Arabidopsis thaliana: one gene and its partners. The protein of the gene in region 1 interacts with the protein of each later gene in a pairwise test. Each region holds a gene or a part of one and is shown on either strand. Other genes may lie near its edges.

Region 1 (8,281 bases):
ACTTCCTTACCTTCAGCACATTGTGTCAGAGACTTTACGGCTTTATCCGGTGGCTCCAATGCTTTTACCCCACTTAGCATCAGAAGATTGTATAGTTGATGGCTATGACGTTCCACGCGGCACAATCATCTTGGTGAATGCATGGGCCATCCATAGAGATCCAAAGTTATGGGAAGAGCCAGAAAAATTTAAGCCGGAGAGGTTTGAGAAAAAAGGAGAGGATAAAAAGTTGATGCCATTTGGGATTGGACGACGATCTTGCCCTGGTTCAGGGCTAGCTCAACGGCTAGTGACTTTGGCTCTTGGATCATTGGTCCAATGTTTTGAGTGGGAGAGGGTTGAAGAAAAGTATCTAGACATGAGAGAAAGTGAAAAAGGAACCACAATGCGAAAAGCTACATCGTTGCAAGCTATGTGTAAAGCTCGTCCCATTGTCCATAAGGTTTTAGATGCTTCTTGTCCATAACTTTCATCATACAGAACCTCTTGTATAACAATTTCGATAGAAACACGATCTGTTTTGTTGCTTCTTAGCTATGGCCTTACCAGAGTACTCTATATTTTGAGGTAAAGACAGGCTCTTCTTTTCTAGGAAGTAACACAAGATCTTTAAGGTCAAAGAGAAAAATCTGGTTAACTCCAAACAACTAAAGGTCCAACGTTTACTACATGCCATAACTTAGTATTGTAGGTAAATGAGATACTAGTAGAGAATGTTGGAGAATCAAAGTTTAGTTACTATCGGAATCGTTTCCTGAGTCCACATTCATCGGCTGAGGGTTCTTGTAATCACTGATCTCATCCTTGTATCGCTGCTTGTCGACTTGAGCCTTGGCTTCATATGGCTCTTTATCATCAGCTATACATACACACGGTTGGGGAATTAAAACACATTCACATGATAAAGTAAAACCAAGTAATGTATTTACTTTTGAAAAGGATCTTCAAATTTTTTACCAGACATTTGACGCCACTTATCTCCAAGCACCTTTCCCACCTCTCCAAATGCTATTCCTGGGTGTTCCTTCTTTATGTTCTGTTCAGTTCACAAATGGAAAATGACATAATCAGGAATGTGCTAAGTTTGTCTGTTAATTGTTTGCTCTCATGTATGTAATAGACCGAGGATACTCCATTTCGCAACTTAGCCTACATCATAGAGGTAAAAGTAAAAGAAAGGAGAGAAGAACTCACATCTCTTTCCATTTGGGAAAAGAACATGAAACCAGACATTGCTCTTTTTGGTGCGTTGGGATCCTTCTTCTTCTTCGGCTTCTTCCTCTTACTACTGCCTTCGTCTGCGGCTACAGTTTTCCTCTTAGGAGGCAATCCTTTCGATGACGAAGCCTCTTTCTTAGGTTCCTTCTTGATAGATTTCTATAACAAGTCAATGACAGGAAGATATGAGAAACAAATACTGCTGCTGAAAGAGTTCGAATGAATGCGACAAAAGTTTACCTCTTTTATCTCTCCTACACCGCCTTCACTAGCATCAGAGTCGTCCCCGCCAGAATCATCAGTTGGTGAACCACCATCATCATCCTCACCCATAACAAAGTCTTCGTCCTTCATAAATTAAAAGTCTCGATTATCAAACACATGATCATTAGAATATGAAGTAATTCGGTCAGACATAAAGTACTTGCCTCCTCATCACTCTCATCAGCAGCTTGGTTTCTGATACGCGTAAGATGAGGGTCAACAGCATCATCATCATCATTATCCCCAAGAACAGCAGCAACACCGTCTGCGGTACCCGCACCTCCAAGGTTCATAATCTTCAAACCCTTAGAGCTGCAGCAAGAAAACATAAGGAATATTCACCACAAATCTTAAATGCACTCAGTAAATATAGACGGAGACAATGAAATAATCCGCGCTAACCTTATGAAGGTATAGAGATTGTGATACTCATTTCTTTGAATGTTACGGAACAGATGTTCATGGTCAGTTTTCAGTCTTATGAGAAGATCAAAGTAATGCATGTTAGCACCACCAGCAGCATGCCTTTCAAACTCGACATAGTCAATCTAAAAACGAAAAAAAAACAGGTTAGAAAACCCAACTCTATCTCAAAGCCTATAAAAAATCTCCAATCCTTAATAACCATAATTTACCTCATCGTGAAGTATAAGCGTTGGAGGTTTAGGTAAGAAGAAAAATCCCTTCTCGAGTGGATAAAGAACCCCATCTTCTGCCTTGAGAGACGATTTCACTGCAAACCCATCTTGGGAACTGCGGAACTTCCCAGGTTTAGTGATCTTTGCACCAGACAGCCAACGCAACACGGTGGTGAATACTTCATGAATGAGACCCTGAAAATTCATACAATTCAGCGTATGTATAAATTTTTTTATTCAGGAACAATAATGTAAGTGCAGACCAGACAGAAACCTTATATGATCGCTCCAGCTTGTCCTTGAACTTTGTATTCATAAGTTCATCACTAATTGACAGTTCACTTTCGACAACGGTGTCTGTTTCAAACTGGAGAAGATGCAAAAACAGTTATGTAAATCAGAGTAAAAAAACGAAAATTATACATAGAAAATTGAAATGGAAGGAAAAATGTAAGTAATGTTTACCTGCATAACAATGTGGGGGTACATTGTCTGACCTTTCCGGATTGGTGGGTCTAGAGAGATAACAACAAACGTGTGTGGTTGGTTTGACTGCTCAGGCATATAAAAAAAAATACGAACTCAATTAATGTGAACACGATTCAGTGATCATAATACGATAATCCCTTTAATCTGATGACTGCTAACATAGGTAACTGCCCTGAGATATGCTTAAAAAAGAATTACCTTTGGAAGCAAGAACAAACGGACAACGCTACTGTACTGGATTTTAAAGTCATTAGCTTGTCCTTGCAATCGTAAGAAAGAAAGGTGAAGTTCCACATTGTACCGACCCCTGTGATAGAAACAACCAAATCATTTAGTCATGACAAGATGAAGCCATACAATAGTGCAACAAATGTTTAAGTAATCAACTCTTTACCTGGGTGTGAGGATTGCAATACTCTCAAATGTGACGACCGCATCCTCAACTCCAGGACTAACATCAGCCATTGCAACGATTGTGTCATTGAAAACCTGAGACATTCTTTTAGCATCAACAGAAAAAAATATATACTTGAGGCACATACATATAATGAAAATAGTTTGGGAACTCACTTGAGAAGGTGGACGGTTTTCATCACCAACAAACTGAGTGTTGGAATTAGGAATATGAAAACTAATCTCCATCAGCGAGTCTTTCTGTAAACACGTAGAATATAAATCAGTAAATGTACATACATAACAGCCTAGAGATTACATATCAAAAGAAACCAGTACCTCATTAGCACCAGCAGTATCATCAACATGAAACTCCAAAGTAACATCATTTTTCCCTTGAAGCTGAGTCTGTGAAACATCAGCTAAAGATACTTCAAAAGCTTGTTTTGATCCAACCAAAAAGGTTAGTGTATTCCCTACACAAAGAAACAAAAAATTCTCCCTTTAGATCCACAAATGAAACTAGACAACCACAAGTAAAGCCTAAAAGCTATAAGAACTCTCACCGTGTAAATCCACCTCTCCCCAATTACGACCACTAACTGATAATTGCTTCTCATCCGGTGTTTTTCCATAAGAACTTTGGAAAAAGCTAGACAGACTTGGAACATCCTACAAAACAAAGGAATCAGAACAAGCACAAACATTACAATATCAAATCAAATAAAAAAGATATACACACACAAACCTGATCTCGAAATCCAACGAACTTGTAGTACAATCCATCTTTGGTTTTGACTCCCAATTGATTACTCTTTGTCACTTTCGTCCAACTAACACTTACAATATCAGATCTATCAACTTCCACAGCTTTTCCACCACCTTGTTTCTTCCATTGAATTCCTCCAGAATTGATTTTAAGTAAACCCGGGTTCTAAAAAACCAAAATTGAAACCCTAATTAGCCTTAAGAAAACCCTAAAAACTACCGCAGCTTTAACAATTGTAAACAAGAAAACAACACAACTGAAAAATGAAAGCGACAATCTTTTTTTTAACCCTAAATTTGACTCATTGAGTTCTTTAAGAATCGAGCGGCGGAAGCAAAAGGGGATACAGAGAAAGGAGATTAGGGTTTTCGAAGGAAGAGGAAAAGGTGAAAACTTTGAAGGAATTGAAAGATCTTGAGAGATAGAAGGAGACAGAGAGAGAAGATGGTACCTTTCCACCGCGACCGCTGAGAGAGATATTATTGAAGGAGTGGCCGTCCGCCATGGTTTTCTGTTGAGAGACACGAGAGAGACGAGAAAGCGAGAGCGAAAGAGAGAGAGTGATTTTTTTTTTTCCAAACTATGATATCAACTTTTATACATAGACACTCAGGCGGTTTAATTTTGGGAAGAAAACCAATTTTCGAAAATTAGATTTTCCGGTTTAATTGAATTTTTGAGTTTTTGGTTTTGCAGATTTGGGAAAAAGACCTTTATCAAAAAACGGTAAAAACAGAAGGTTGTTTTGAGTTTTGGATTTTTTCACATTTGGAAAAGAAACCTCTTATAAAACAGAATTTTATATCAATTATGTAGGCATGCGGGTTCGGTTTACCAAACCGGTTACTTCGGTTTTGTTTGGCTTTGGTTAGGAGGGGAAAACCGGTCTAAGGGTATGGAGAAGTGATTATTGAAGGAGACAATAGGAATGTGATGGAGCTATTCAAAATAAATAGACAACCAAACAGAGGATCCGAGCATTGTCTCTATTGTTCAACATTACCAAATGGAAACAAGCTCATAATAGTAGTACATGTTGTATTAACCTCAAAAACCAAACTATCAAAGTCTTTTTATCCAATGTAATGACTATAAATTACCCTGCATTGCTAGAATTCTTCAGAACTGTTTTCGTTTGTTCCTAAAGAGTCTATCTCTTTTCGAGAACACGTAACCAACAGCCATTAACCCGAATCCCGACACTGAAACAGTTCCCCATGGGAACGGTGGATCTTTGAAACAGTTGAGACTCGCTTCTACCCGTTGTGACGCGAGGTACACTACTGAATGCACTGAGTACAAGTCGTGTGAAGCTGATCTTAAGTAGAACAAAGCCATCTCGAACTCATTGTGTGATAGAGCAGAAACCGTTTTATCCAGCTTGTACTGCATAAGATTCCACCTTTGCATGAACTCAGAGTGGCGATTCTGTTTCCGTAGGATCACATCTCCTCCATATGCAACCGCGGAATCGATAACATCGATTGCACTTGTGATAGTTGTGTTCAAAGATGTCAAAATCACGTTTCTCTTAGCAGCATCTTTCTGAACAAACGATAGAGACGAGATATCAGAGAATGGTCCAAACGGTGTTTGCCCAATGCTCCATGTATAATCAACTAGAGTTGTGTTATGTCTCGGGCTCCATGTCAAATGAGTAGAAGATACACCCCACATACTCTGCAGAATGGAACCAACGAGAGGTCGTTCTAAGTCTCTCGTATGAACAAACACATGACGCCCGTTGCAAGTATAATCACTAACCGTTTGAGTTCCTCTAGTTCTAACAGCAATCACCATATCTCTAAAAGCAACAGACTGATGATACCGATCAAGCAACAAAGGCGTATTGATATCCAAATCAAACACATAAACAGGTAAAACCCTAGCAAACTCATTTCCTTCTTCTTCAACAATCCCCGCAACTCTCCTCAACTCCTCAGCCGAATCAGTCAACGCCCGATGCATATGCTTAGAATCCAAATACTCACTCACAATCAAAGTATAGTTATCAAACAAAAACCTAGAAGTATACGAATTCATCCCACGAGATACCGCAAACGAACAAATCGAACATTCTCTATAATTCACACTATAACTCTTAAAACTCAACTTCTGTTCACCTAACAACAACCCACCACTCTCAGCTTCATCCATAAACGTTCTCTTCACAAACTCCAAATCTAACCCACTCGAATCCTTAACCTCTGACCCATACACATGAATAAACTGAACCACCAACGTATCCTCAAAGTACACAGGGATTCTCAAAGAAGGAACAATCAAAACCTGATAAGCATTATACACCAACGAAGCCAAATCCGCAAGTAAAGCTTTTTCTGATTTAGGACGACCATGTAAAGCAGCTAAAGGATGAAACTCACCTCTTGGTAAAACACCATCACCAGATAAAGCAGGACCATAATCTACAGGACCAGCAGAGAGATCAATCCATAGATAACGATCTTTACCAGTCCAAATACTACCTAAACATTTCGTAAACCCAGCTGATGAATCACCATGAGAGTAACTATAAGCATAAGGTTTAGCTTGTGAGCCTAAAGAGATCAAGTAAATGTAAACACCACCATCTCCATGCTTCTCTTTCTCATACTCTTGCTTTATAATCTCATCGATTGGATTGTACTGGATCGAAAGGAGATTAGATCTGAGAGATGAAGTTGTTGATGAAATTAGGGTTTTCAAAGTTGAATCGAGTCTGGTGGAGAGAGATTGGGGAGATAGAGAAGCGTCAAGGTGGAGAGAGTGAGAGATAACGAGTTTGTGATTTGTTGATGAATCTGGAGATGGAGAGATTACATGGAAGTTGTCGTTAGTTACGGCGGCGGAGATGAATTCGGAGAGAGTGGAGGCGGCGGAGGAAGGGAAAGAGTCTCCGATGAAACGGACGTTGAGTGGGATTGAGATTGAGAGAGAGAGGAGAGATTTGGAGAGTGATGAGAAGTGGATTGATGAAGAAGAGAGAGATCGTTTGAGAGAGGAGGAGAGTGATGTGAATGAGTCGTTTGATGATTTTGGGTCGAGACGATATTGGTTTGTTAGGAAGGTGTCTAGGCCTGGGATTGGTGGAGAAGAAGAGGAAGTGGTGGTGATGAGTAGGAGGAGGAGGAAGATGGAGGCGGATCCGCCATTGAAGTAGGTGGTGATGCGGTGGTGCGTCATGTGAGAGTGGAGGTTAGAGGAGGAAGACGAAGACGAAGATTTGTTTGGGCTTTCGAGGGCTAAAAATGTCAAATTGGGGTTAGATTTAAGTGGATTTTTCACATTGGGGTTAAATTTAGGGGTTTCACTCCAACAAAAAACTATCATTTAAAATTTGGGTAATGATAACGTGAACGCGGTTGAAGTTATGAATTATCGACCGAGGTTTTGAATGGATGTTGCGGTTAATACTAATCAATCCGCGATTCAGTCTACTTTATTTTAGGGGTAGACAATAAATCAATACAGATTTAATTTATCTCAATCAGTATTCTAAAAAGCGATTTTGGTGGTTGTTTAGGCCTCGACTAGGGGCTAGGCTCTCATGCGACGCCTAGATGACCGTTTCGACCGCTTAAGATTAATTATGCTTCCAATATATGTTTCCAATATTTAATTATTCAAATTTACTTTTTTTAAGTTTTGTCTTCATATACATGGTTTTAAATGTTCAAATATTGTTTAGTATGAATTATATGTACGTTTTATCACATTTTTGTTTATAAATTTAATATTTATATTTTTTTAATCCATATTTTGAATGATGTTTATCTATAATAACATATTTATAATGTTTTATGTTATAAACATCTTAACCGCCTAAAATTGTCTAGACTCCGATTAGGTGTTTTAGGCGGTAGACATTGGATCACCTCCCGAATAGCGTCTGACGTTTTCTTGAACACTGATTTCAATATAAAAAACGGTGTGCAATTGGTCCACAACGTCTTTTTCTGTTTTTTTTATCTATACTATTAGGAACTATAGTTTATGAATGGTAAATAAAAAGCGGGTCCAGTCCATACACGGTTTTGTCTGCTCGAACCGTTGTAACGATTCGGACTCTAAGAAATAGTAGGAAAGCTCTCTTTCTCTAATATTTTTGAGAGAGAGGGGCTCTTATCTTTATTTGCGGTTAACATGTCTTTTCCGTTGTTATATTCTTGCCGTCAACATAGTTTTTTTGTTGTCATGTTTTTGCCATTAACATGGTTGTTCTGTTGTCGTTTTTAGTCGTTCCAATGAAGTTGGGTTTTTCGTCCCGATTAAGTCGGGCTTTTTGTTTGACATCACAATTTTTATAACATTGCAAAAATGATTTTTCCAATGAAAGTAAGATTAAATGCATGATGTAGTAATTTTTTTTATATATATCTATTTAGAAAATGTTATAAAAGAATATAAAATTTAAAATTTAAAATCCGTTTCTAAAAACAATGTATGTCAAAGAGTTTTATTTATTATTAAGTTTTTACTAAAGAAAAAATAAAAGATTATTAAACTCAAT
Region 2 (8,187 bases), about 10 Mb from region 1:
CAAAAACAAAAAAAAATATAGTATTTTAAAGAAAGTCATCGAAAACAACCTTCATTCAATTTGAAAACATCCTCTCTCTCAAAAGTCTCTCCTGCTCTGTTTCTCTCTTGATGTAAGAGAAAGCACCATACCCCAGGTTTTATATTTAGAAACAAAAACCTCTTTCTTTCTTCTGCGATAGTCAGAAGAACATCAAAAGTCGATTAGAAGCATCTAAAAAATCAAAACTTTGCTTGTGGGGTTTCTTCTTTTGTTCGATAGAAAATGGTTCAATACAAAAGACTAATTAAAAAAGGAGAAAAGCATAGACTTTCGGTAGAAGAAGGTGGTTCCGGTGCCTCCGCCGTCACTGTCTCCGGCGGTGTGTACTCAAAGACAGCCAAACAGAAGCTTCTCTTAACTATCTTTCTCTCTTTGCTCTCATGCTGTTACATCTTCAGCTTCTCCTCTTTCTCTCTTCTAGGTAATATCACCTTACTCATAATCTCTTTCATTAATTTTTTTCTAGATTTTTCTCATAACTTCGATTGTTAATTTTCTTGTACAGGTGCTTTTAGCAGAGAAAGTAAAGGATTTGGTCCTTATGAACTGTTCATTGCACCTCTTTGTTCAGGAACCTCTAATGGTATTTTATCTTTTCAAATCTCTTCTTTTTAAATTTGAACAAGCTCTGTTTAATGATGTATCTCAATCACAGGAACAATTTGTTGTGACAGAACCGGTTCTAGATCCGACGTTTGTATCATGAAAGGAGACGTTAGGACACACTCTGCTTCGTCATCAGTCTTCCTCTTCACTTCCCTCAAAAACAAGACCAAGATCACGAAAAAGATCAAACCTTACACAAGAAAATGGGAAACAAGTGTGATGCAAACAGTTCAAGAACTCAATCTCGTTTACAGAGATGAAGAAAACAATTCTTTAGTCGTCTCCTCTGTTAATGACATCTGCGATGTGTTCTATAACGTTCCTGCTGTGTTTTTCTCAACTGGTGGATATACAGGAAATGTTTACCACGAATTCAACGATGGAATCATCCCTTTGTTCATCACTTCACATCATTTCAACAAGAAGGTTGTGTTTGTGATTGTTGAGTATCATAGTTGGTGGATTATGAAATATGGAGATATCGTTTCTCAGCTATCAGATTATCCTCCTGTCGACTTTAACGGCGACAAGAGAACACATTGTTTCAAGGAAGCTATTGTGGGATTGAAGATTCACGACGAGTTAACCGTTGAATCATCGTTGATGCTTGGGAATAAAACAATTCTTGATTTCAGAAATGTGCTGGATCAGGCTTATTGGCCACGTATCCATGGATTGATTCAAGAGGAAGAACTCAAGGCAGCTAACAAGACAGAAGACGGTTTCAAGAAACCAATATTGGTGATTCTGTCTAGAAATGGATCGAGGGAGATACTAAATGAGAGTCTTTTGGTTGAATTAGCTGAGGAAATTGGATTCATCGTCCATGTTTTGAGACCGGATAAAACAACAGAGCTGGCAAAAATCTACAGATGTTTGAATTCTAGTGATGTGATGATTGGTGTTCACGGAGCTGCAATGACACATTTACTTTTCTTGAAACCGAAAACAGTCTTTATACAGATTATACCAATAGGAACCGAATGGGCTGCTGAGACTTACTATGGTAAACCAGCTAAGAAGATGAGATTGAAGTACATTGGTTACAAGATTAAACCGAAAGAGAGCTCTTTGTACGATGAATATGGCATCGATGATCCCATTATCCGAGATCCTAAGAGTTTTACTCAAAAAGGATGGGATTACACTAAGAAGATTTATCTTGAGCGCCAAAACGTGAAGCTTGATTTGAAAAGATTTAGGAAACCGTTGTCTCGTGCTTATGATTTCTCGATGAAGCGAATTGGACTGGTGTATATCAGTCACAAACCGGATGTTACCAATTAAACCGGGGTTTGAGATTGTATAATATAATTTTGGAGATGTAAACATTTTGTACAGAGAATGCATAGACTTTCTTTTGTGTCGTACCTAATGACACAAATTTACAAGCTTTTGTTCTGTATAGAAATCACTAACCGGAGAATACCAACTAAACTGAGTTTTTTTCACACTTTTTCCACTGAGTTCATACCACATTCAACTGGGTCTAAGGGCCCAAATATTATTTGCTTTATAGGCCCAAAGTCCCAAACATGCTAATCTTTCATGATACCTCCTCCATACGTCTTTTTTACAATTTTGTGTGTTTTACAAAAAAAAATTTTGCTTAGTAATCTATTTGTTAAGATTTTTTCCGTTTCTATTTGATAAGAATATATTCGATATATTTTCAATTTATACTGTATAGAGTAGCTTGTTATAATTATCATCAAATTTCATTGTTTTTTTCATAAACAAATATGATTAAAATTGATCTAGAAGTCTGCACGAAGAAAAGTAAAATGGAAACAAATTGCAGATTTGCATGTAATTACGACAAGTGGCTCATTCTCTTTTTTAGCATGTTACAGAAGTGTCTGGTTAATGGGAAAAAAAAATATTGAACTTTCTTTTATTTTGTATATAAACCAACCTTATGTGAGTAATATCCCAAAGAGGTTTCTTTTAAAATATCTTTGGGTTTTTAATTCATTTATGGGAATTTCTATAACAAAATTTCACCACAAATAAATGTTGTTCCTTTCGTAGAAGAAAACAAAATCTTAAGAAATCACGTTATTTTCGTATTTGATGGTAGTTTATAAATTTCGAAAGATGATTCAACGCGATTCATACGAGATATTATTTTTTTGACAACAACAAAAGATAGTAAAGTGTTAAAAAAAAATGTGTAAAGTTTTATGGAGTATAATTTAAAGATTTATCTTGAATTGAGAATGTGTAAATCACATTGGTTAAAGTGGAACTAAATATTTTTTTAGTAAATTATTTGTTTTTCTCTAGCTTAGTTTTAATTTCAATTTTGGAAAAGGGAGAATATTGACCAAAAACAAAAAGAGCACGATTAAATGACCTAACACTACATTTAGAAACACGCATCTGAATTATTTACATTGCAAAACAAAAGTGTTGAGCTGTATAGCATGTATTTATATTTACTTAAATACTTTCCATATCTATAAAAAGATATTTGCTCACCAAAATTTCACAACCGAACTAATTTTATTTATTATTACTAATGTTTAGATAATTCCACAAATACAGTGTAATTCTCAAAATATAATTTCGGTTACAATAGAAAGTCTTCTCTAGAAAGAGATATTTTTCTTTTACTAAAAATACAACAAACTCAGTTTGGAGGGGAAAGTAATCTTCCTTGTGAGATTTTACTATCTATAGAAACGTTAAAGCCACACCTTTTGCTTTTCTTATCATATTCTTCTTCAAATACGGCCACGTTTGGCCATTCTACTAGATCTCAACCCAAAAAAAAGAAACAAAATCTCAACCAACAAGAAAACAAAGCTAAAGAGAAAAAAAAGAACACAGTAGTTGTTATTTCATAAATCTTTTAAAGATATGAAAATATCAGTTATTAAATAAAACAGTATCCAAAACAACTAAAAATAAAGACTATAATAAAATGAAATAGTTGATCAAATATTTCCTTATTATAGGGATCAACTTTATTTGACTATATAAAAAGTAACATTTCTGTAAAGCAATAAAACAATAAAATTATGGAAGATTAAGTTTTAGAAACGTAATAAAAAGCATGATGACCTAAAAGCAAAGCCAAAAAAGAAAAACCCTAGAAGATAAAAAAAAAGGGAGGCGATACACGAAATAGAGAAGAGATCCAAAACCAAAACAAGGGCGTTATAAATGGGAAGAAAGTTCCAAAAGAAGAAAACAGCCACTCACACCAAGCAAAGCAAATTAGCAAAGCCACCAAATATGGAAAATTGCTACTTATAGTAACTCCCATCTTTTTATATAATACCCTAATTTTGGTCCTAATTTTCCTTCCTTAGCCCCTTTCCCAATATTTGATCAATTTCTAAAGAAAACCCCTTCCTCTACTAGTCCTCCTCCTATATATACAAAATCTTAAGAAATCTCTCTACTTGTTTCCTCTGTTATCATAATCTCTTCTCTCTATATCTCTTCTCTTCTTCTTTTACCCTGTTTTTTTTTTCATTCCACAGAGCCCAGGTTGATTGATTTTGTTATTCAGAGATATGGGGAGAGGAAGGATTGAGATTAAGAAGATTGAGAATATCAACAGTCGTCAAGTCACTTTCTCTAAGAGACGAAACGGTTTGATCAAGAAGGCTAAAGAGCTTTCGATTCTCTGTGACGCCGAGGTTGCTCTTATCATCTTCTCCAGCACCGGCAAGATTTACGATTTCTCCAGCGTCTGGTATATTAGTTATCATCTCATGATTTTGCTTCTTTTTTTTTGCTTTGGGGAAATAAAAAGTTTTGCATTTTTATGGGTTTTTGTGTCTAAAGTAAATGAAAACAGAGCAACCCCTGTTTATCTATATCCTAATCTGGCTAAATCTTTAGGTTGATGATGAAATAATTTTGATGGGTTATGATTTTAAGGTTTGGAGAATTGAGATTACGATTTTTGCTATCGGATTAGTTTGTGTGTTTTATAAACCCTAACTGTTGATGAAACTACAATTTGGTCACTATCTTTGGTATCAGAATTTGGGAGATGCATTTGTCTATGTATATATCAGTTGTTAGAATCTCAACTCCAGAATTCTGAAAGATCGTTAATTTCTAAGATTATTAGACCATAGAAGTGTTTATCTTATCTTTATGAAGAAATTTGAGAATGCAGAAGTTTAGATTCATGATTTTTTCCTGTAATGATCAATCAAACCAATTACGGGGTTTTACTAACGGAGAGTTTTGTTCAATTTGTGAAGTATGGAGCAAATTCTTTCTAGATATGGATACACTACTGCGTCCACTGAGCATAAACAACAAAGAGAACACCAACTTCTAATTTGTGCTTCACATGGAAATGAAGCTGTGGTAAGCAGAGACTCTCTACCAAGAATTTATTTTTGTATCCCTTTGTCTGTGTTCAAGTTTTTGGTTTACCTTACATGGTATTCGTTGTTGTAGTTGCGAAATGATGATTCTATGAAGGGGGAACTTGAAAGATTACAGCTTGCAATTGAGTATGTATCTCACTGGAAAAAGAACTTGCGTTTGTTCTTGGTTAAAGTTTCGGCCTTTCATCGGTTTTTTCTACTTGTTCGTGAACAGGAGACTTAAGGGTAAGGAGCTTGAAGGTATGAGTTTCCCGGATCTTATTTCTCTTGAAAACCAGTTGAACGAGAGCTTGCATAGTGTCAAGGATCAAAAGGTGAAGACAAAATACTAATTTATTCAAACATCGAGAGATGATTTTTGATTCATCCCTGTCTTGAAAAGTTTTGTTTTGATTCAGACACAAATCCTGCTCAACCAGATTGAGAGATCCAGGATACAGGTACGAACAGAGCTCCTCAAATGTCAGAATCATTGTTATTATCAATTCGTATACAATGTTGAATCTCAACACTCTTGTTTTGTTTCCTTGTCATTAATAGGAGAAAAAAGCATTGGAAGAAAACCAAATCTTGCGCAAACAGGTAAAGATTCATCAAAACCCTTATATTAGCTCGGTCTGGTCTTCACCAGTCATAACTGAGTTCAATTCTAATTTGCCCTCAGGTTGAGATGTTGGGGAGAGGTTCAGGACCAAAAGTGTTGAATGAAAGGCCTCAAGATTCTAGCCCAGAAGCCGATCCCGAGAGCTCTTCATCAGAAGAGGATGAGAATGACAACGAGGAGCACCATTCCGACACTTCCTTGCAGTTGGGGTAAACTGCAAAACAAAGCCCTAACTTCTGTTACAAGCTTTTATTGTTACTGAGCATTCTACAAACTTGTTGGTTTGATCTTTCTTAGGTTGTCGTCGACGGGGTATTGCACAAAGAGAAAGAAGCCGAAGATCGAACTGGTCTGCGATAACTCTGGGAGTCAAGTGGCTTCTGATTGATGGAATCGATTATTTTTCTAATTCTGGTTGTTTAGGGGTCTCTATGTGTCTTCTTGTTTCTGGCTGTTCTTTTGCTTTATTTCATCTCAAGTAGAGTTTTCTTAATGTTTAGGTGGAACATTTTTCCATAATCAAGAAGGGATTTGATCAATCAATAACATTAGATTTTCTTAGTTAAAGACTTAAAGTTGCCCACACACCACACCATATGTGATTATGATGAATTTACATTTTATAAACAGGTTTTCAGTGATTTCAAGAAACATAAGCGTGCATTCATTTTTTTTTTGCTTTAACTAGAACCCAAATCTTCAATAGTTTTCATGAATCGACTTTGAAAATACATAAATCCACAACATTAATATGATTAAGCATTCTTGAAATCCTAAGTTAGGTGAACAGAGAGTTAAGAGTAAATGCTCCTAGACATGGTTTAGTCGATTGCAGATAATTCGGGTCAGCAAAGAAATGTGATCACTAAGCAAATCTGGGTTGCGTAAACTCGTTGACAATAAACGGAAGCGTCTTACCCCTTTTTTCCGGCCCACTTCTTTACTTGGGCCAAATAATTTTATTTTGGGCTTTTTTTAAAAGGATGATCTTAATTGTGTGTGGGCATTTAAGGGCACCGACAATTCAAAGGTAGCCGACGGCTTACAGAAATATGGCTGCTCAGATCATCAGAGACCCCATACAATAAATATTTATGTTTCGAGAAATAAATCACCAGATGGTTGACAAGTTGCGGCAGTAAGTACATGTTACTTTTCTTGTCAGAAAGTACAACAACAGTACTTTTTTTATAGTCGACACTAAAATTAAGACTCGTATTTAGTAATGCAGAAAAATCTTTACAAAAATATACTATATACTCCTGAGAAAAAGCAGCTGATTTGACTGAAATAAAGAAAATGTTAGTAGTCTAGTAATGATTTGTGAACTACAAACGTTGTTTAAGGCGTTTACAGTAATATTAACATTACGGAATACAAAAGGGTGATGACTAGTCGACAAATAAAAATGGTAATGAGTCTAAATGACGAAATAATTAAAGAAATGTGTGAAAGGAAGAGAATAATAAGCACAAGTCCCGGACCTGAAAACGGAAAGATCAGAAGAGCCACGTGTGCAGGAGCTTGAAGAGAAGGTTCCAAATGAGAAAGAGATCCACCACCGTCATCAACACACACACACACACTTTGTTTGTTCTCACGGAGTCCCCAACAAAAGTCAAATCACCGTTCATTGAGCCCCACTTTTATTTACTTACATGTTTAATAGACCCGTTTGTATTACGAGACACTTCTAGTCGCATGTCTCCACCGTCCGATCACGGATCCTAGCTGTAATCAAGGGGGCAGATTTAATGAAGTGGGCCTCTTAGTAACTGCCTTCTCCACGTATCCTGACAATTTATTGTTTTCTTGTTAGTATTTTGCCATTTTTGGTTTATTATAGGATGATTAATGATCTTATAACTCTTCCATAAACTAATTTAGATAGATACGCATTGCATAGTTTGTTTTTAGGTCGATGAAAGCTAATTTATACTATACCTTTGCTTTGTTTGGTTTTGTGTGTCAGCGTTACATTAACTTGTCTTTGTTTTTTCACATTGTTAACAATAAACTCCAAAATCCAACCATAGCATTTTCGAGGTTATATATACTTGTAATATTCATTAAATTTCAGAAATTACTCATAAACTATTAAGAGGATGTTGCTTATAATTCAACCCCCATTTCAGTAGTACTCAACATTCAACTGCATTCAACTGAATCTTTTGGCTTCAATTACTATTTCCATTACAATTGTCCAAATGTAAAACGATTTTTACACAAAAATCAGGAAAATGATATTCCATAATGATAAACCATGATATTGGTAACCAATAAAGACTAGTACATGTAATCGAGCTTCATAAATCAGAATACGTAATGAAACTTAACCAGTCAATGTAATTTTTTTCATACAGGAAAAGTAGACTGAGAACGGTCAAACTTTGTTTTCTAAAAAAGAAAATTAGGCACATCCTTGAACCACGTTTGACAAAATCTCTGGTTTAATTACACATTAACACACAAGTACTCACTCTCTCTTTAAAAGGCTCTATACACTGAATTTAATAAGGAAGGTTCTCACTTCTCATCAATATGAATTTATCATTTCTTATATACTTTGCACTTTGC
Region 3 (6,723 bases), on another chromosome or scaffold:
GATTGCGGTACAGATTTCTAATGCTTTAGTGTTCTTGGGTACTGATAGAGTTGCATTTTTGCCATTATCTAGTATTTTAGAATACTCAAAAGATTGCTCTTTGATCCAGGGTTTGACAGGATTGTTGGGTGCCGAGAGCGATATCGGAGTAAAAAGGATGGGAGAACTTGATGAGAAACCTTTCCTGGATGTTTGCAAGCTGAGATATTCTGCAAATGAAGCTAGGGTTGAAGCTGCCACCCTTTGCTCTACATGGAAGGAGAACCTTAAGAATCCATCATGGCAACCATTCAAGCGTGAAGGAACCGGGGACGGAGCAGAGGTAGGTTCATTCCTTTTACAAGTCTTTTATATGACTTTGAAAAGTATCTGGTCTTTCTCCCTCTCTGGGCCACTGTTTTAGTTAAATATGGAGTAACCTGTGATTTCTGTGAACGTTGATACTTGTATACATATGTTGGTACAACTGTTTTTGTTTTTGTGAGTTAGCGGTAATGGTGTTAGATGTTAATGGTTACAGGAAGTGGTAGACGAGGATGATGAGCAGCTGAAGAAGCTTAAAAGAGAGTGGGGAAAAGAGGTGCATAACGCAGTAAAAGCAGCTCTTGTGGAGATGAATGAGTATAATGCAAGTGGTCGGTACCCGACTTCAGAACTGTGGAACTTCAAAGAAGGAAGAAAAGCCACTCTCAAGGAAGTGATTACGTTCATTTCAACCGACATAAAAAATCTGAAACGCAAAAGAACCTGAAGGTATGCTAAATCTTCTTCAGTTGACACAGGTCTCCTTATATAGCTTATATAGTAATGTGCTGGTCCAAAACTACGTACACTACATAATCCGAGAAACGTGTAAAAGGTTTAGGGTAGAAACTCGTCAAGAAAATACTGCAGAGGCATGATCTCTTTTGTTGACTTCAGTTAAAGAACTTGTCAATTATGATCTGGTCTGGCTTTGGTCTTGCGCCATTTTGATTTGAACTGAAGAATCCAATGGTCTTCTACTTTTGGTTGCAGGATTGGAGAAGCAGGAAGAAGAAGAAGAATATTAAATGGTTAAGCTTTTTGTCTAATAAAATTATTAGGATGCTCGTATGCTCTCTATGGAGACTAATTTCTTAAACCTTTTGATTTGAAAGAATTCGAATCTGTAATTATTGTAATCTTGGTTTATGCTTTTTGTTTTAAGTTCTTGTTAAAAGCCACCTAAAATGATGATCAAACAAGTTTGTGTTAAGATTATTTTGGCATGTAACATAGTCAATAATCTTTTTATTAAGGTTTCTTCTTGGCTTATTTTGGACGAGTTAGGCAGTATCTTAATAGTAGTAACAAAGCTTTAGTTTTTGTAGTTCATAAGTCAAAAGCTTTGAACAAAACAGTGTTATCTTCTATACCAGACACAAAAACTGTGTTGTTTATATAGTTAAATCATCCTGAAGCAATGTGACTAAATTTTTTGTAACCAAGCTATATTTGCATTGCTATGGTCTTGTTTTGTGACCAACAGACTTGGATGCAAAGTAGGTATAACTTGCTAAATGTCTGATTTTGGAAATAACTTATGAAGAGAAAATCTTCATTTGGTAAGAGTTGTTTTCTCAATGTAACAGTTTACTCATCATTTTCAAACTCCAACTCTCACAGAACACAATCAAGTTACAAAGTGCAGATGCTTATGGTTGGGAAGCTTTACCTAACAATGGTACAAGGCGGTTTTGTCAGGAACATAGATTCGTTCTTGGAGTTGGTACAAGAACTTCTAAAAGACAAAGATGAGGTATAATAAGGACAAGTTGACGAATAAAAAAATAAATATTATAACGTAGAGAATCTTTCAACCCCAAAAAAACAAACCAGAAAGAATCAAATCCTAAATCCGAAAAACAAAAGAAAGCATTATGCATAGCATTACGATACAAAAAACCGACAAATCTAAGTAACTAGTAGCTCTAGTTCTTCGAAGCATCAACGAAGTAAGACGTAAGGTCAGTCAAACGCACACTCTTATCCAACATAGCCTCAAGCTCTTTAGCTTGCATCAACTGAAACTTCTCTTCAACAATCTTCTTAGTCTCAAGAGTAAACGAACTCCATTTCTGCCTCACATAATACTCATCAATACCCGAACCAGCAATCATCCTAGCAAGAGACGACTTCTCAAACCAATCATCTCCATTAGTTGAAGAAACACCAACAAACGCCAAGTCTTGCTTTACAGAATCAAGCTTCTCCTTCGTCTTACTCGCACTCTTTTTCGACACACCGTTGGACTTAGCATTAGAATCAAGAGCTATTCCTTTAGGTCCCCAAATAAACTTTGACAATTCAAAAGCTTTCTTATCATGAGCTTTCACAAACCTAGGTTCGTCCTTTCCTTCTTTAGCACGGTACTTCTTCCTTAAACTCCTAACCTTATCCGAGAATTGACTCTTACTAACCTCAAAGCTGATAGATTTCTTCTGGAACTCGTAAAACGCATTAGTATCTGCGGAAGGAGACTTCCCTGTATCAGCATGATAATCTATCATTCCTTGTAACATAGAGATTTCGTCATCGTCACTCCATAGTCTTTGAAAAAGTGCTGGCTTCTTTACACTCTCTTCATCTTTCTTGACTCGTTTCGTTGAAGTCGTCGCAGCTTCACTCGCTGCCCTCTTTGCTCCAGATTTCACCGCCGGTAAAGCTAAAGTAGCAGTCGACGACGACGGATCATCTTTCTTCTTTGAAGCGATTGTTTTACCGGATCCAGATTTCGGAGGATCCGTCGATTCAGAATCCGAATCTGTTTCACTCTCCGAACCAGAATCGGAATCAGCAGCGGCGGAGACGGCGGTGGATTTAGAAGGAGCAGCGGCGGAGACGGAGGTGGATTTAGCTGGAGTAGCGGCGGAGACGGCGGTGGATTTAGCAGGAGCAGCGGCGGTTGTGGCGGGAAGGGATTTGATTGGTTCGTCTTCTTCAGATGAAGAGGAATCATCTTCGGAAGTCTCGACGTCATCTTCGTCGCTTGAAGGTGCCGTTGGTGGATCGAGTTTCTTCGTCATCGGAAGTTTCAAAAGAGCAAATCGGAATTTTCGAGAGAAAGAGAAGATGAGAAGCTTCTTAGGGTTTGTGAGGAAGATGAGAAGCTTCTTAGGGTTTGTGACGAAACGATGATAAGTGAAAAGGAATATTTATAATCAATTTCGATATTCTCAAACAATAATTGCGAAATTTGCTTTCCTTATTCAAATCGTTTCATATTTCCAATGTAGCAGTTCCCGTTAAAATTCCATTGTTCTATGAGTTAAACAATTAATATTGTCATTAAATTAAGATTCTAAATCTCAAAGAATATTATTTGTTAAGTTTTATAATCTTATTATATAAAAATTTTTGATTTGTCTAATGTTAGAAATTGTAATGAAAGAGTAATTTAGGTTTAGGTCATGACATTAATGACTAATCATAATAAGTACAATTTCACATTTTTGCTTATTATATACAAATCTTTGATTTGCCTAATGTTCCCATGGATCTCATTCTCATACAAATCATAATAAGATCTCATTCTCATGGATCTCATTCTCATTAACAAATATTTGGTGAAGGAGTTTAATATTATGTATAATTAAAGCCCACTAAAAACTAATATAGAAATTGTAATGAAAGAATAATTTAGGTTTAGATCATGACATTAATGACAAATCATAATAAGTATAATTTCACATTTTTGCTTCACATATTTTCGCACTGTAATGATTTTTTTGCTTTCATTTCATTTTTCTGTTAATTGTATATATACAGAAATATCTATATACAGAAATATATTCATTTCTTACTGCCAATGTTTATAAAATCATCCCAAAAAATACAGGAATATGAGTTTCTTTTTAATGAATTGGCACCAATAATATAATACATCAAATCCCAAGTTTTCGTCTGTTACTTAAATGATGATAATGTAGACATTTTTACATTGGAACTCAAAATTCATGATCTCTTGTCCGCCAACACTCTCATGATGATAATGTAGACATTTCTACGTTGGAACTCAAAATTCATGATCTCTCGTCTGCTACACTCTCATATTGATATCACCATTTTTCAATTCGGTAAAACGAATCTAATTTCTCTAAAAATAAAAGAAATTATGACAGTGTAATAAAAAGTTTTTTTGTTTTTTTGTCAAGAGATTTTTTATAAAAGCGTATAGTTAACAATGATCTTATTTAGTTTGTTAAAAATTTAATTATTTTTTTCAAAAAATTGCTACTTTTGCAACAAAAAAAAACCATAATTAATCATTCACAATTCCACCGAAACATAGTTTTATTCAAACATATATACGTCGTATGTATTTACATTTGCATGATCCAAAATTTACTTCCTCCAATAAAATTTTGCACTTTAAATAGAAAGTCTCTATACACATCCGTATAGAAACGGGATCACAAAATAGTTTTTAAGGATATAGTTACCCGTTCGACATTAAGAACAAAATAGAATAAACATAACAATAACGTACCATAATGATGACAAGAGCTCAAGCAATTACACACATGAAAATTCGTATATGATCCAACCTTACTTGCAATAAGTCAATGCCAAGTTATAACAAGAATAAGATATTCACTTCTTGGTGTTGTTGATAGACTCCACCTTGCCGTCATTACCTCCAAGCAAAAGATATTTATCCTTGCGAGTAAGTTCGGTGCATTCGAAGCCCAAAACCGCGCCGATAACTTTCTGGACGTAATTAGCCACCTCTATAGGAGTCTTGCCACCACCGTTGACAGTCATTTCTTCAGGCAAACGATCCAAGAAAGTGGCTTCATAGCTTGGTCTTGGGTTCATGAAGAAGAAGTAAGGGTCCCAAAACTTCACACCCCTAACTGTGGTCCCGTTGAACATTCCTTGTTTACAGTTCATCGCTACTGGCACAATCCGGTCGCTTAGCTCTGCGAATAGAGCGCTAAATCTCAGTAGATACTCTTCTCTACACGTCGTGCCTTCCGGACATATCACCAAGTCGCCTGTTATACACCAAAAACATATCATTAGCTCAACAACTCCATTGATTTTTAATTTCTCAACTAAAGATTAATGTGAATGTAAGTCAATATTCAAAAGAAGTAAACAATATTATTTTATGTTCATTTATATAAATTTGGTTAGAAGATGCGTTAATTAGGTACCAAAGTAAACATCAAAGACCATACCAAAGTAATATTTACTATATTGAGATTTGCATGGGCTACTATATATGTATTCATCGAAAAATAAAAAGAAAGAAATAGAAACTCCTATTGAACCCCCTGGACAGTGAAACTTGTTATAGGTATGCTCTAGTAATATATGATGAGAAGATGTGTAAAGTACCTTTCTCGAGAAGTTTTCTCATGTTGGCAGCATCGGTGGCACGGTCACGGGTGAGGGCAACAGCAGGAATAGGAGAAAGCATAAGGGAGAGACGAGAGACACTGTAAGTGACGCAACAGATCTTACGTCCAAGAGCAATAGCAACGATGATGGGATCAAGCGCGGTACGGTGGTTAAGGACATAGAGGTTGCCAAGAGTTCCAGGGGAAGGAGGTGGAGGACGATGACCACGAATGGTTAAGTGGATCCCGAGCATCTCGTAAGTGTAACGGACAAATCTTTCAGGTAAAGGGAGGTTGAAGTAGACGCGAATGATGGAGAGGATGAAACCAAAAGGAAGCCATAGGTATGTGATAATGGCGTTTAACGGAGTTGGACGTTGCGCTAAACGCCCATCATGGAAGACTATGCGGTTCTTTAAGCGTTCTTTTGGAATCGTTGTGGCTGACTTGGTCGCATGAACCATGTAACCTTTCTGTTATAATACCAAAAACGTTATTCATTTCAAACTTATAACTAAAAGTACTAGGAAAATGTAACATATCTCTAAATTGTGTAATCAAGATTCAAAAAACTAAGCATTAAACAACAGAAGATTGTTTATGATATTTCAAGTATGTGTTCATTAAATGGACAGCCCAAAATGTTGGTGGAACTAGTAAGGTGGTTGGGGATAGAAAAATAATCCAGAGGGTCACGTGAAGTGATTGGTTGGATACATTTATGAACCTTACTAATTGCTTCCAAATCAAAAATTTCATTATTTTTATAAGATTCACGCGTAGACATAATGACACTAAACCAGTCAACAAGTTAAATTAGATTATCTAGCTTAATCAACAAGCAAATCAAACGTTTGCTTAGATTCTCAAGTTACCTCCAAAACACATCTTACACTAAACCAATCAACACTCAATAATTCAACTTAACTTTACCCTATAATCGACCAAGATTGGATAAAAAGATTGGAACAGTACCTTGCAGAGAGACATGAAATCATGATCAGAGGTTCGATCACCGAGGCCGAGATCAGGTGATTCGTTACCAAACTCTTTTAAAATGGCTAACCTCTTAAGATCACCAACAAGAACACCAGGCTTCTTCACAAATCCAGTGGCTCTATTGGTTTTAGGGTTAACTTCAATCTCTGTTCCCAAAACTTTATCACCTCCAAGATAATCCTTCACAAACGCCTCCACCATCACAATCGGATTCGCCGTCACTACCACTTTTCTCTTACACTTATCAAACACCTCAAAACTGTCTTTCCTCACATCCGCCGCGTAAAACCTAAACAAAGTTCATCAGAAAAAAACTAAAGTGATCTACTAACAAGAAAACACTCTATGTTAGATCTCG
Region 4 (8,952 bases), on another chromosome or scaffold:
TTTAGTTTCAAAAGACAGTAACCCTAAAATACAGTTCAATTTTTTTCCAAATATCATTTCTAGTGTAATTTATTTTCACTTATAATTACATTTTAATCATTCTTTTTCTTTCTCAAATTTAGAAATTATACATAGTTGCAAATTTAGCTAATTGAACATTTTATATAATAAGTTAGATGATATTACGAACGTAGAAAAATAAAAAATAAGTATTTAGTAGAGTTTCGTTTAAGCTTTCACCATTAGTGTATTTTCCCCATAAATGATTAGTTAACATCCTTCAAGTACAAATAAACATCTCTATTATTGAGTTGTCAATTTACCGAAGAAGAATTATTAATTTATTATATATATTTTTATTGATAGCACTAAATGTTTTTAATAAAATAATACTATATAAAATTTGAAAAGTCATATGTAAAATAAAATAAAATTTCTAAAATGTTTTGAGTACTACTATTCATATTTCATAACATTAACTCCAATTATTTGGTATTATATAATCAAACGATCTTATATCAATGTCCAGACTAATTTTCATAAACTTTATAAAAAAAAAGAAGAGGGTAGTCCACATTGGAAAAAATAATACTCCCTCTTTCAACTCTGATGAACCAATCAAACTGGAGTTACTGGACCACCATGAAGTAGTTGATCTAGACTCTAGAGTGTTGAAAAATGATATTTCTGCAAAGTGGAGTGTGAAAGAGAAAATGAAGGTCGGTGGAAGATCGATTGACATGTGGTGGACACACACACGATGTATATAATTGTGTGTAGTATGAAGAAAGTTTTGTGCCATTGCTTTGATATGAAAATAACATCTAAGGCTAGGCTGCTATGGAATTGTGAAGTATTAAAGACAAGTTTGTGCCCTTTCTAGTTTGTGAAAATAACATCCACGGATAGGCTTGTATAGAAACAAAATCTAAAAGGCGATGCTTAAAAGTAGAGCTTAAATTCTAAGGCTATGCTTGAATGGAGACAAATTCACAAAGGTGTTAGCCGGATTTTAACAATCTTTCATCCAACCGCCTTTATGTTCCGATCCATGCTTTTTATTTTGGGGTTTTAAGAAGTAAGTAAAGACAAGAAAAATATCCAAAGGCGTTTTCAAACATTTTGAAGATAACATTAAACACTATCCTTTGAAAAGCTTAACACTAGATGCGCGTACCCATTCTCATGCTTTAGGTTATGCTGCTAAACGCAAACGTAATCGTTGTTCTAGTTGCCCAAATCGTATCATTATTGCACAAACATATACGGTCATTTAAAGTACATAGCCATATTTATGCATGTTGAGTACATATTTATGTATGTGCAAGGTGCAAATGGTTTCATGACCAAATATCTTTAATCTTCTACTTAATCACTAGATACCGCGGGTTGATTATTTACGTTATAAATTATATTATTTTTTTAATTCTATATCATCTATATTTAAATAATCATATTATATTTTGAATTTATCATTTTACTTTTTATATCTATTTATTTTTGATATTATATTTGTATTTGTTTGGTTTGATCTTGTTTAATTAAGAAAAACTGTTTATTATACGCACATTATATAGAGAGTGTATTTTTATGGTACGTTATTATGTGTTTGTTATATAGTATTTTTTTGTTAAAAATGAACGTATTTGGCTTAAAATAGTTTTCTTAACTAATACTTATATACATGTTTTTTTTATGATGAGTTATTACGTGCGTTCTTAACTAATATAGATGATATTAAATTAAAAAAGTAATTTAATTTCAAATGGTTTTTACAATATAAAAAAAAAAATTCTAGAGTTCAAATATTATTAATATTATAAAAAATTTATAGATTCTAAATATTATAAATACCAACTTATTAAGAGGTACACTGCGGGTTGATTCTTTTCCATTTATTTTATAATTTATAAATTTATGATTTTGTAAACTATAAAGTATATGATATTTAATAAGATGTAGCTCTTATAGTATTATTCGGCATTTACTATATAGCTAAATATTTATATGAATAAGATGAATGTTATTAAGTTACTATCATAAAGTTCAAAACTAAGTAAGTTTAACTAAATTGTAAGATAACTTAAAGATCGTCCAAACAAAAAATATGGTATAGGATTTAACCCGTGGTGTAAAATAAAATGAAATTTGAAAACTAAATAAAATTATAAACTAAAATTAAAAAAAAGTTCTTTGGGAGAATCTAAAAATAAGAAAGTTCTTTGAGAGATTTGGATATAGAGGATCTTTTTTTTCAATTTCCCTTAATCATAAACTAAAATAAAATAAATTACAAAATTATAGTTTTTTTCTTCCTTTTTTTTGTGCCAAAACATCTAAATAGAAAAGATTCTTTACATCTAAACCCCAAAACCACTAATTAGAGAAACGTTAAAAAAAATTTCCTAAGCAAAAATAGAAAAAAAAAAAAAAAAAAGAAGAAGAAAGGTTTTGTTTCTCTTTCTCTCCGCCGATGGTTGCGCAAGCGGAATCTTCTCTCAGCATTCACCTCGGCGTTTCTCCTTTTTCAGCGTTCACGTCGGCTTAAAAAGTTGCAATACCTAAAAGTTCAAAGAAGAGGGCAACATCTCCATCTTTTCCCATATTGCATCTAGAATGATGGGAGAGAATCTAACGCTTAGGCATAAGGTAAACCTTTTCCAAAGAATTCAAGTAATCAACAGCTCTTTCTCTGTTCACCACAATAAAAGTATGTTCATCGATTTCAATTTTAGACAAACCCTTAAAATTAAAATGAAAATCAAAAGCCAAAATCAATAAACCAAAATAGAGGATAAAAACTCTGTCAATCAAAATGGAGATAAGAATTAAGAATACTCACTTTCCTCACCAAAGCTCAAGCTCATCTTCAGTAATCGCATCTCTAACAACACGCTTATCTCTCGATCAGTCTTAGCACCAGAAAGCATCGTCAAAGCTCCATTAGAAGTGATTAACGAACCTTTCTCATACTCAATAGCTTGCTCATAAAGCTATACAAACAACAAAATCACAAACTCAATCTATTAAATTCGTCACACAAGCACTGATAAATATTCTGTATAGCAAAACATTTCTAGAGCTATGCATAAGAAATACCTTGCTATATGAGAATTCGGAGGGATCATTTAGACTGAGGCAAATTGTGGTTGTGGTAATTGTTCGATATGAGATGGTTATTTATAGTGGATCATTTAGACGTTAGAATGTTCTAGATATTTTAATTTAGGTAATATTCTGATATTCAAATATCTTGAGAATATATGCTTGTTATTAGTTTACAAATCTAAACAAAAAACAATACCCAAGTGTTAATGTGGTTACCTTTTTTGTAGGGAAATTTTGCCAAAAGATATATTAACAATGATTGACGAAAATTAACGAAAAATTGAACTCAAAATTTGAAAAAATATAAATTAGTTATGGAAGATGCTAAAGATTACCATTTTTGTAGGAAAGAAATCGATCACATTTATGTTTTTAGATATGACATTAAAATATTATTACAGTTTTTTCTAGAATTCAAATAGGAAACCATTTGATTTGAAAATAGTTGTTTGTTATAACTACATATACGATTTATATATTTTCAAATCAAAAACTAAATATTGTTTAAATATTTTTAGGCGTAAAGCCAATTAAGAACGGAAATACAGATTTCTCTAGTATATTGTGTGTTTATTTGAGGTAACAGAAATTAGATTTTGTGTTGCAATTGATAAAAGAAGAATAAATTTTGGTAAGATATCATTAGCATTTAAAACTAAAATTATTTTCGAATCAAATAATTGTAGATATGGTTAGTTATGATTGATTTCCGGGTTTTGTTAATTAGGAAATTAGCATAATGAATTTCGTATAGTTTTAGGGATTGATTTGTGCAATTTATGAGGGTAGTAGTTAACAATATCCATGTTTAGGCAAGTAGTTAGTGCAATATCTTAATTGTTTATCAAAAATTTGGTTATTGTCCTAAAGAAAATATTTTGTCTGATTGATTTTGTAGGGACTAACCATACAATATCGAAATTGAAAAAGGATTTTTCGACACAAATCGTCCCCAAAAATGTATATGTAGATATATCAAAGAGTTATAATAATAACTTCAACAGGTAACGAAGAGAAGACATAACACCAAAGATTCTACACTTGACACGTCTTCGGAATACATAGATCAAACTCCAAAAGAATACATGTTAATGTTCATTAATCATTAGATGTATAATATCATATTATATGCATCACACAAAAAAACATTATAAATAGCACAAAAGAGTTTTTTTTTTTTTTTGAACTCTACCAAAAACTATAATTTATCAGCTAAGAACAAAGGTTATTCACTCCTAATCGACAAAATTAAAAAAAGATTCAATCAAGAAAAAAAAATACTAAAACCCTAAAAAAGATTTCATCACCATCAGAAATTTTCATTAAGATTATTACTTTTGCTAATACTATACCTCACCATCATAATCTTTCTTCATCATTTTCTCATAACTTAAAGAACCCATTGTAGTCTTTCCTTATGCATCATCCTCCATTAGGCATTGTCTTTAACTCATTCACCGTGGCTCTAATCTGTTCTTGAACCAATTCTAATCTCCTCGAATACACTTCCAGCTCAAGAATCTGTTGTCTCCTCCACCGTTCGTCCCCTACTCCCTTACCACCAAACCCTAAATTCATCGACGGCATTAGCATCGGACTCAACACACCGAGAGCATGAGCACCACCTCCAGGAAACCCACCCGTTGCAGCCATCATCATACCCGTCGTACTATTCATCATCTCCTTAATCATGGGCGATACACAATTCTTAACCGTCTCTTCAATCAACACTCCAAGATTCCTCCCATCACCAAAATCACAACCAACAGCCACATTCTCGTTAAGATTAACCGCATTCGGTATCACCCCGTCACACGGAGCAAGAACAGGCTTATCCTCGTCGATCTTCCCGATCCTAGACCGTGATCGTTTTCTACTTATCGTCACTTTCTTCTCTAAACCATTCTCCGAATCAACATCGACATTCGCATTACCGATAACAGAGACATTAAAACCCGAGCTACCATTCGCGTTATTTACATGATTAGTTTCTTCTAAATCCATCACATTATTATCTTCAAAACCAATAATTTTCCCAGTTTGATTCCAAATCTTCCTAGAGATATCAAAAGTAGCTTGATCATGAGGACTTTTAAAGAACACTTCTTTACCAGAACTAAACTTACTCATAACATTCCTATACTTCTTCTTCAACCTCCTTAGCTTCTCCACAAGCTGATTCTTATTAAACTCTAACTGTAGCTTAGATTTAATCTGTTCATAAAACGGCGCCGTATCAGGCGGATGAGAGCTGTTACCACGGTGGTTTGTGATGTAATCGAGAAAGCCACGGAGAAGCTCGATCTCGTCTTCGTCAGTCCATAGTCTCTGGAATAAACGTCGTGAATCATCAATCGGTGGTCTCTGATGAACGATTTCAGTCATACGGTGCCATTTCTGATCGGAATCTGATGGAATTGAAGCTACAGGTACGGCGGATCCAGCGGGAAGAGCGACGGTTACGGTTCCTGAGGATGATTTCGTCGCCGGAGCTCTGGAAATCATTGACGGAGAATTCAGATCTTCGTATTCTGGATCGGGATCGGGATCGTGATCGTCGTCTTCGGCTTCGTTTGGTTCGGGTATAACAACATCTTCGTCGGATTCAGTTTCTCCTCCTCCTCTTCCGCCACCGCCACCGCCGCCGTCTTCTTCTAGATCTGGTGATTCAGCGGAGAAATCAGTGTCACGTTGATCCGATGCCATGAGAAAAACGTAGCGAGAGAGAAATTTTTCTGGTAGATCGAATCAGATCCAGAAAGAAGGAATTGGGTTCACGAGGATTGATACGGGTTTGTTTTTTGGGTGGTGGTAGGGTATGGAGAATATTGGAGATGAGTAGGGGTAGTTTCGGGATTTTAAGAGTTGTAATTATGACTAAGGGTGTTGCGGTTGCAGGCAAGTGGTCCAGTGTTTGTTTCTTTTACCCGTGCTTTGTTTGGGTTGTTGCGGTTTTAGTTGAAGCGTGATCATGTGTTTAAAGTCAATGGTCTACCGCAACCGCGGCGAAACAGAAAAGCGTTCGACAAACTTGATTTTGTTATTCTGTGTACTGTTGCGTTTCTTCAACGTCCCATATTAACGGGTGTTGTGATTGGTGACTGTTGTTTATGACGGTTAAGAATGTTTTTAGAGATTATAGAAAAAGCGATTAGAGAAAATGCGATGACATAACAATGAAAAAAGGTGGTTACTTTAAATTGAAAAAAATTGTTATAAGGAAGGAATATAAGAGATTAGATAACATATAAAATTACTTTTACTATTAATAATCTCTTAATAGAACAATACAAATAAAGTTATATTGAAAAAACTAATACAGTATCAAAACAATTGGTAAACTCACAGATTTTTCATGTGGCTTACAATCGGCTTGTTTTAATTTTTAACCGCTCACTTCATTTGTTGTAACACCCAATGGCTATTTTTAGGTATGACTGGTTTAAACGCAGTGGATATTGTATGACTTGCGAGAGTTTGTAAAACGGACGGTTGTGATTTTAAACATTATGAAATATTTTTCAATGATATGGTTAGCTTTTGAAAATTGGTGCATTTACAGAAATTTTATGAATGATTAACCAGCCGGTTTGAACGAAATTAAACCAAATAAATATAATTAATAATTATAGAAAGTATAATTACACCAAATATTTTTTATTATAATAATAAAATGTAACATAATTTAAATATAATTAATAATTAAAATCATATATAACATTCTACATAATTATTCAAAATAAATAAATTTCATAGTTAAATGTTATTACTCCATGCATTTAGTTCATGAAAAAAATATCTTTATACTAATATAAGGAAAGTACCTTTAGAAAATTCACATTGCCTTTTCTAAAGTATTACTAACCAATGCCATTAGAAGTATAATTTCAAAGTCCAAATTAATTCACCTCATTAAGAATAAACAAGTCAAATTACATAAGATCTATTTGTTTTTCTCGCGGGTTAGAGATCTTATACATATGTTATGTTAGAACCATTACTTGACCAAAATCAAGAAACTCTTTACTTGATCAAAATCGCTGGTTACAAATCTTATATATACTGCTTTTTCAAGAAACTCGGCTCTCTAAATCCTTATTGCTTTGAAGTACGCTTTAACCAACTTCCTCATTATGCATTGAAATTTGGCTTGGTGTTGTGGTAAATCTGACTCTCAATCTATGAATTTCTATAGCTATGCTTTAAACTCGATTTTGAATCTCTATAGCTTTGAAGTGGTGGAAAAGAACCAAAAGTATGCTTTTCTTTTTATCGCTCTCTTGATTTTGTTTCAGGGTTTTTTATTATGTTACACATGCTTTATATATATATATATATATATGTTTGGTGTTAATGGCTTCTCATTCTTGACTATGCAAGTTAGTAAATTTCTCCTTATGTCGCTAAATTTTCTATTTCTCTAGGTTTAGATTTAGAATTATAGTTTTGGTGATGACTACTAAACAAATTTGGTGCTTCATAATAGGTAATTATCTCAGCTCTACGTCTTCTCGATGAGGTTTTGCACCAACAAATCGATAATTGTTGGACTATTGGGCTCTCTAACCAATTCACATGAGTAGGAAGAACTTTGGGATATATTGTTAATAATGAATCCTTATGAATCTAGTACCTATTCAATGGAGTTAACAAGGACCACTTTACTCCAAAAGGAGCCATAGATAACCTCCTTAGCGCGAAATCATTTTGGTTAATGAAAGGACTATTCTGGAGAGACTTTGTTCTCTACCTTACAAACTTGGTGTTGCAAATGAAGTTGTAGAGTTATATTAATGTATAGTTATTGCTTTTATTTGGAGTGTTTTAGAAATGAATTCATATTTGTTTTTTAATTTTGCTAACTAGATCAATGCATCAAGATTCAAAGTAGTTGATCTTATTGTTCATAGAGTAGAAGACTATGAAAATCTTACCAACTTTAACAAAGATTTATTTCGCTGTCTTAATCGAACGCATGTGGCTTTGTTGTTCCAGTCTTTTAGTCCTTTGGAAATATTGGAATAACGAAGAGTAGAAGATTACATTAAGATGGTTATGGATTTCTAATTTATATCTCACTTTGTTGAGATAAAAGGGTTACATTATACGCCCAAAAACCTTAAGTTGAAGTTCAAGCATGTAAATTTTGTTGATCAGATGCTGCACAATAGTTACGTTGAGGCCATAACATTGTAAAATGTTAGCTCACTAGGCAAGTAGTTGTTTTTTTCTCTTTTGGAATCTGATGGCTTCTTTTAATGGTTCTAAAAAATGGTGATTTTAACAAATGGATCTTATCATTTATCTTGCTGTATTTAACAAATTGATGCGGATTTGATTTTCTTATTTTCAATTACCTTTTAAATTTCTGATTTCTTGATAATTATTAATTGGTTAATATTAGTAAAAATGATGTTCCTTAAAAATTTGTTCTTTAATGTCTTTGATTAAATTGTAAATTAAAAATTGAATTAGATTTTTCTTTTTTCTTTTTTTTTTTGTTGTTCTAAGATTTTGTCAATGATTTTGTTAGAAAAAATAGTTTAACCATTGATTTAATTGTCTTGCTCTTTATTTTATACTAGATTTTAACCCGCGGTATACCGCGGAGACAATTTATTTTTTAAATTAGTATATATAAAAGTTTGCAAATTAAATCTATTTATTTTTATTTTATAGTTTACAATTGTTATTAAGTAACGTCCTGCCAAACCCGTCTCGCCAAATCCATCCCATAAAAAAAACCGCGGTACACCGCTAATTTAAATATATAATTAAAATAAATATTTTACGGGATTGCAATTGTATTTTGGTTTGTCAAACAAATATTTGTTTTAAATAGTT

Evidence for each region.
Region 2: the proteins of HMG (region 1) and AGL18 interact in binary tests that used the Arabidopsis thaliana proteins (3 or more experiments, as listed by UniProt).
Region 3: the proteins of HMG (region 1) and AT4G00390 interact in binary tests that used the Arabidopsis thaliana proteins (3 or more experiments, as listed by UniProt).
Region 4: the proteins of HMG (region 1) and AT5G28040 interact in binary tests that used the Arabidopsis thaliana proteins (3 or more experiments, as listed by UniProt).

What each region holds. Positions count from the first base shown.
Region 1 is NC_003074.8:10,780,949-10,789,229, reverse strand, and holds HMG (high mobility group), read right to left. Parts: upstream 4,343-8,281; 5' UTR 4,277-4,342; coding exon 4,223-4,276; intron 3,937-4,222; coding exon 3,751-3,936; intron 3,675-3,750; coding exon 3,569-3,674; intron 3,479-3,568; coding exon 3,342-3,478; intron 3,264-3,341; coding exon 3,180-3,263; intron 3,099-3,179; coding exon 3,004-3,098; intron 2,917-3,003; coding exon 2,808-2,916; intron 2,673-2,807; coding exon 2,586-2,672; intron 2,488-2,585; coding exon 2,395-2,487; intron 2,316-2,394; coding exon 2,118-2,315; intron 2,031-2,117; coding exon 1,885-2,030; intron 1,795-1,884; coding exon 1,647-1,794; intron 1,567-1,646; coding exon 1,459-1,566; intron 1,378-1,458; coding exon 1,195-1,377; intron 1,037-1,194; coding exon 958-1,036; intron 860-957; coding exon 732-859; 3' UTR 501-731; downstream 1-500. Other genes in the region: CYP81D11 (Cytochrome P450 superfamily protein), read left to right, coding at 1-466; AT3G28720 (uncharacterized protein), read right to left, coding at 4,891-7,101. UniProt on the Arabidopsis thaliana protein: Component of the FACT complex, a general chromatin factor that acts to reorganize nucleosomes. The FACT complex is involved in multiple processes that require DNA as a template such as mRNA elongation, DNA replication and DNA repair.
Region 2 is NC_003074.8:21,229,738-21,237,924, forward strand, and holds AGL18 (AGAMOUS-like 18), read left to right. Parts: upstream 1-3,734; 5' UTR 3,735-4,172; coding exon 4,173-4,354; exon of another isoform or gene 4,355-4,874; coding exon 4,875-4,983; intron 4,984-5,076; coding exon 5,077-5,132; intron 5,133-5,220; coding exon 5,221-5,320; intron 5,321-5,404; coding exon 5,405-5,446; intron 5,447-5,546; coding exon 5,547-5,588; intron 5,589-5,670; coding exon 5,671-5,819; coding exon of another isoform or gene 5,820-5,823; exon of another isoform or gene 5,824-5,907; coding exon 5,908-5,998; 3' UTR 5,999-6,241; downstream 6,242-8,187. Other genes in the region: AT3G57380 (Glycosyltransferase family 61 protein), read left to right, coding at 265-463, 548-625, 698-1,935. UniProt on the Arabidopsis thaliana protein: Probable transcription factor involved in the negative regulation of flowering, probably through the photoperiodic pathway. Prevents premature flowering. Downstream regulator of a subset of the MIKC* MADS-controlled genes required during pollen maturation.
Region 3 is NC_003075.7:169,698-176,420, forward strand, and holds AT4G00390 (DNA-binding storekeeper protein-related transcriptional regulator), read right to left. Parts: upstream 3,149-6,723; 5' UTR 3,048-3,148; coding exon 1,953-3,047; 3' UTR 1,790-1,952; downstream 1-1,789. Other genes in the region: FDM2 (XH/XS domain-containing protein), read left to right, coding at 1-7, 110-322, 521-751; GPAT8 (glycerol-3-phosphate acyltransferase 8), read right to left, coding at 4,615-5,018, 5,365-5,839, 6,342-6,654.
Region 4 is NC_003076.8:10,033,124-10,042,075, forward strand, and holds AT5G28040 (DNA-binding storekeeper protein-related transcriptional regulator), read right to left. Parts: upstream 5,879-8,952; 5' UTR 5,815-5,878; coding exon 4,531-5,814; 3' UTR 4,461-4,530; exon of another isoform or gene 3,914-4,460; intron 2,994-3,913; 3' UTR 2,420-2,993; downstream 1-2,419.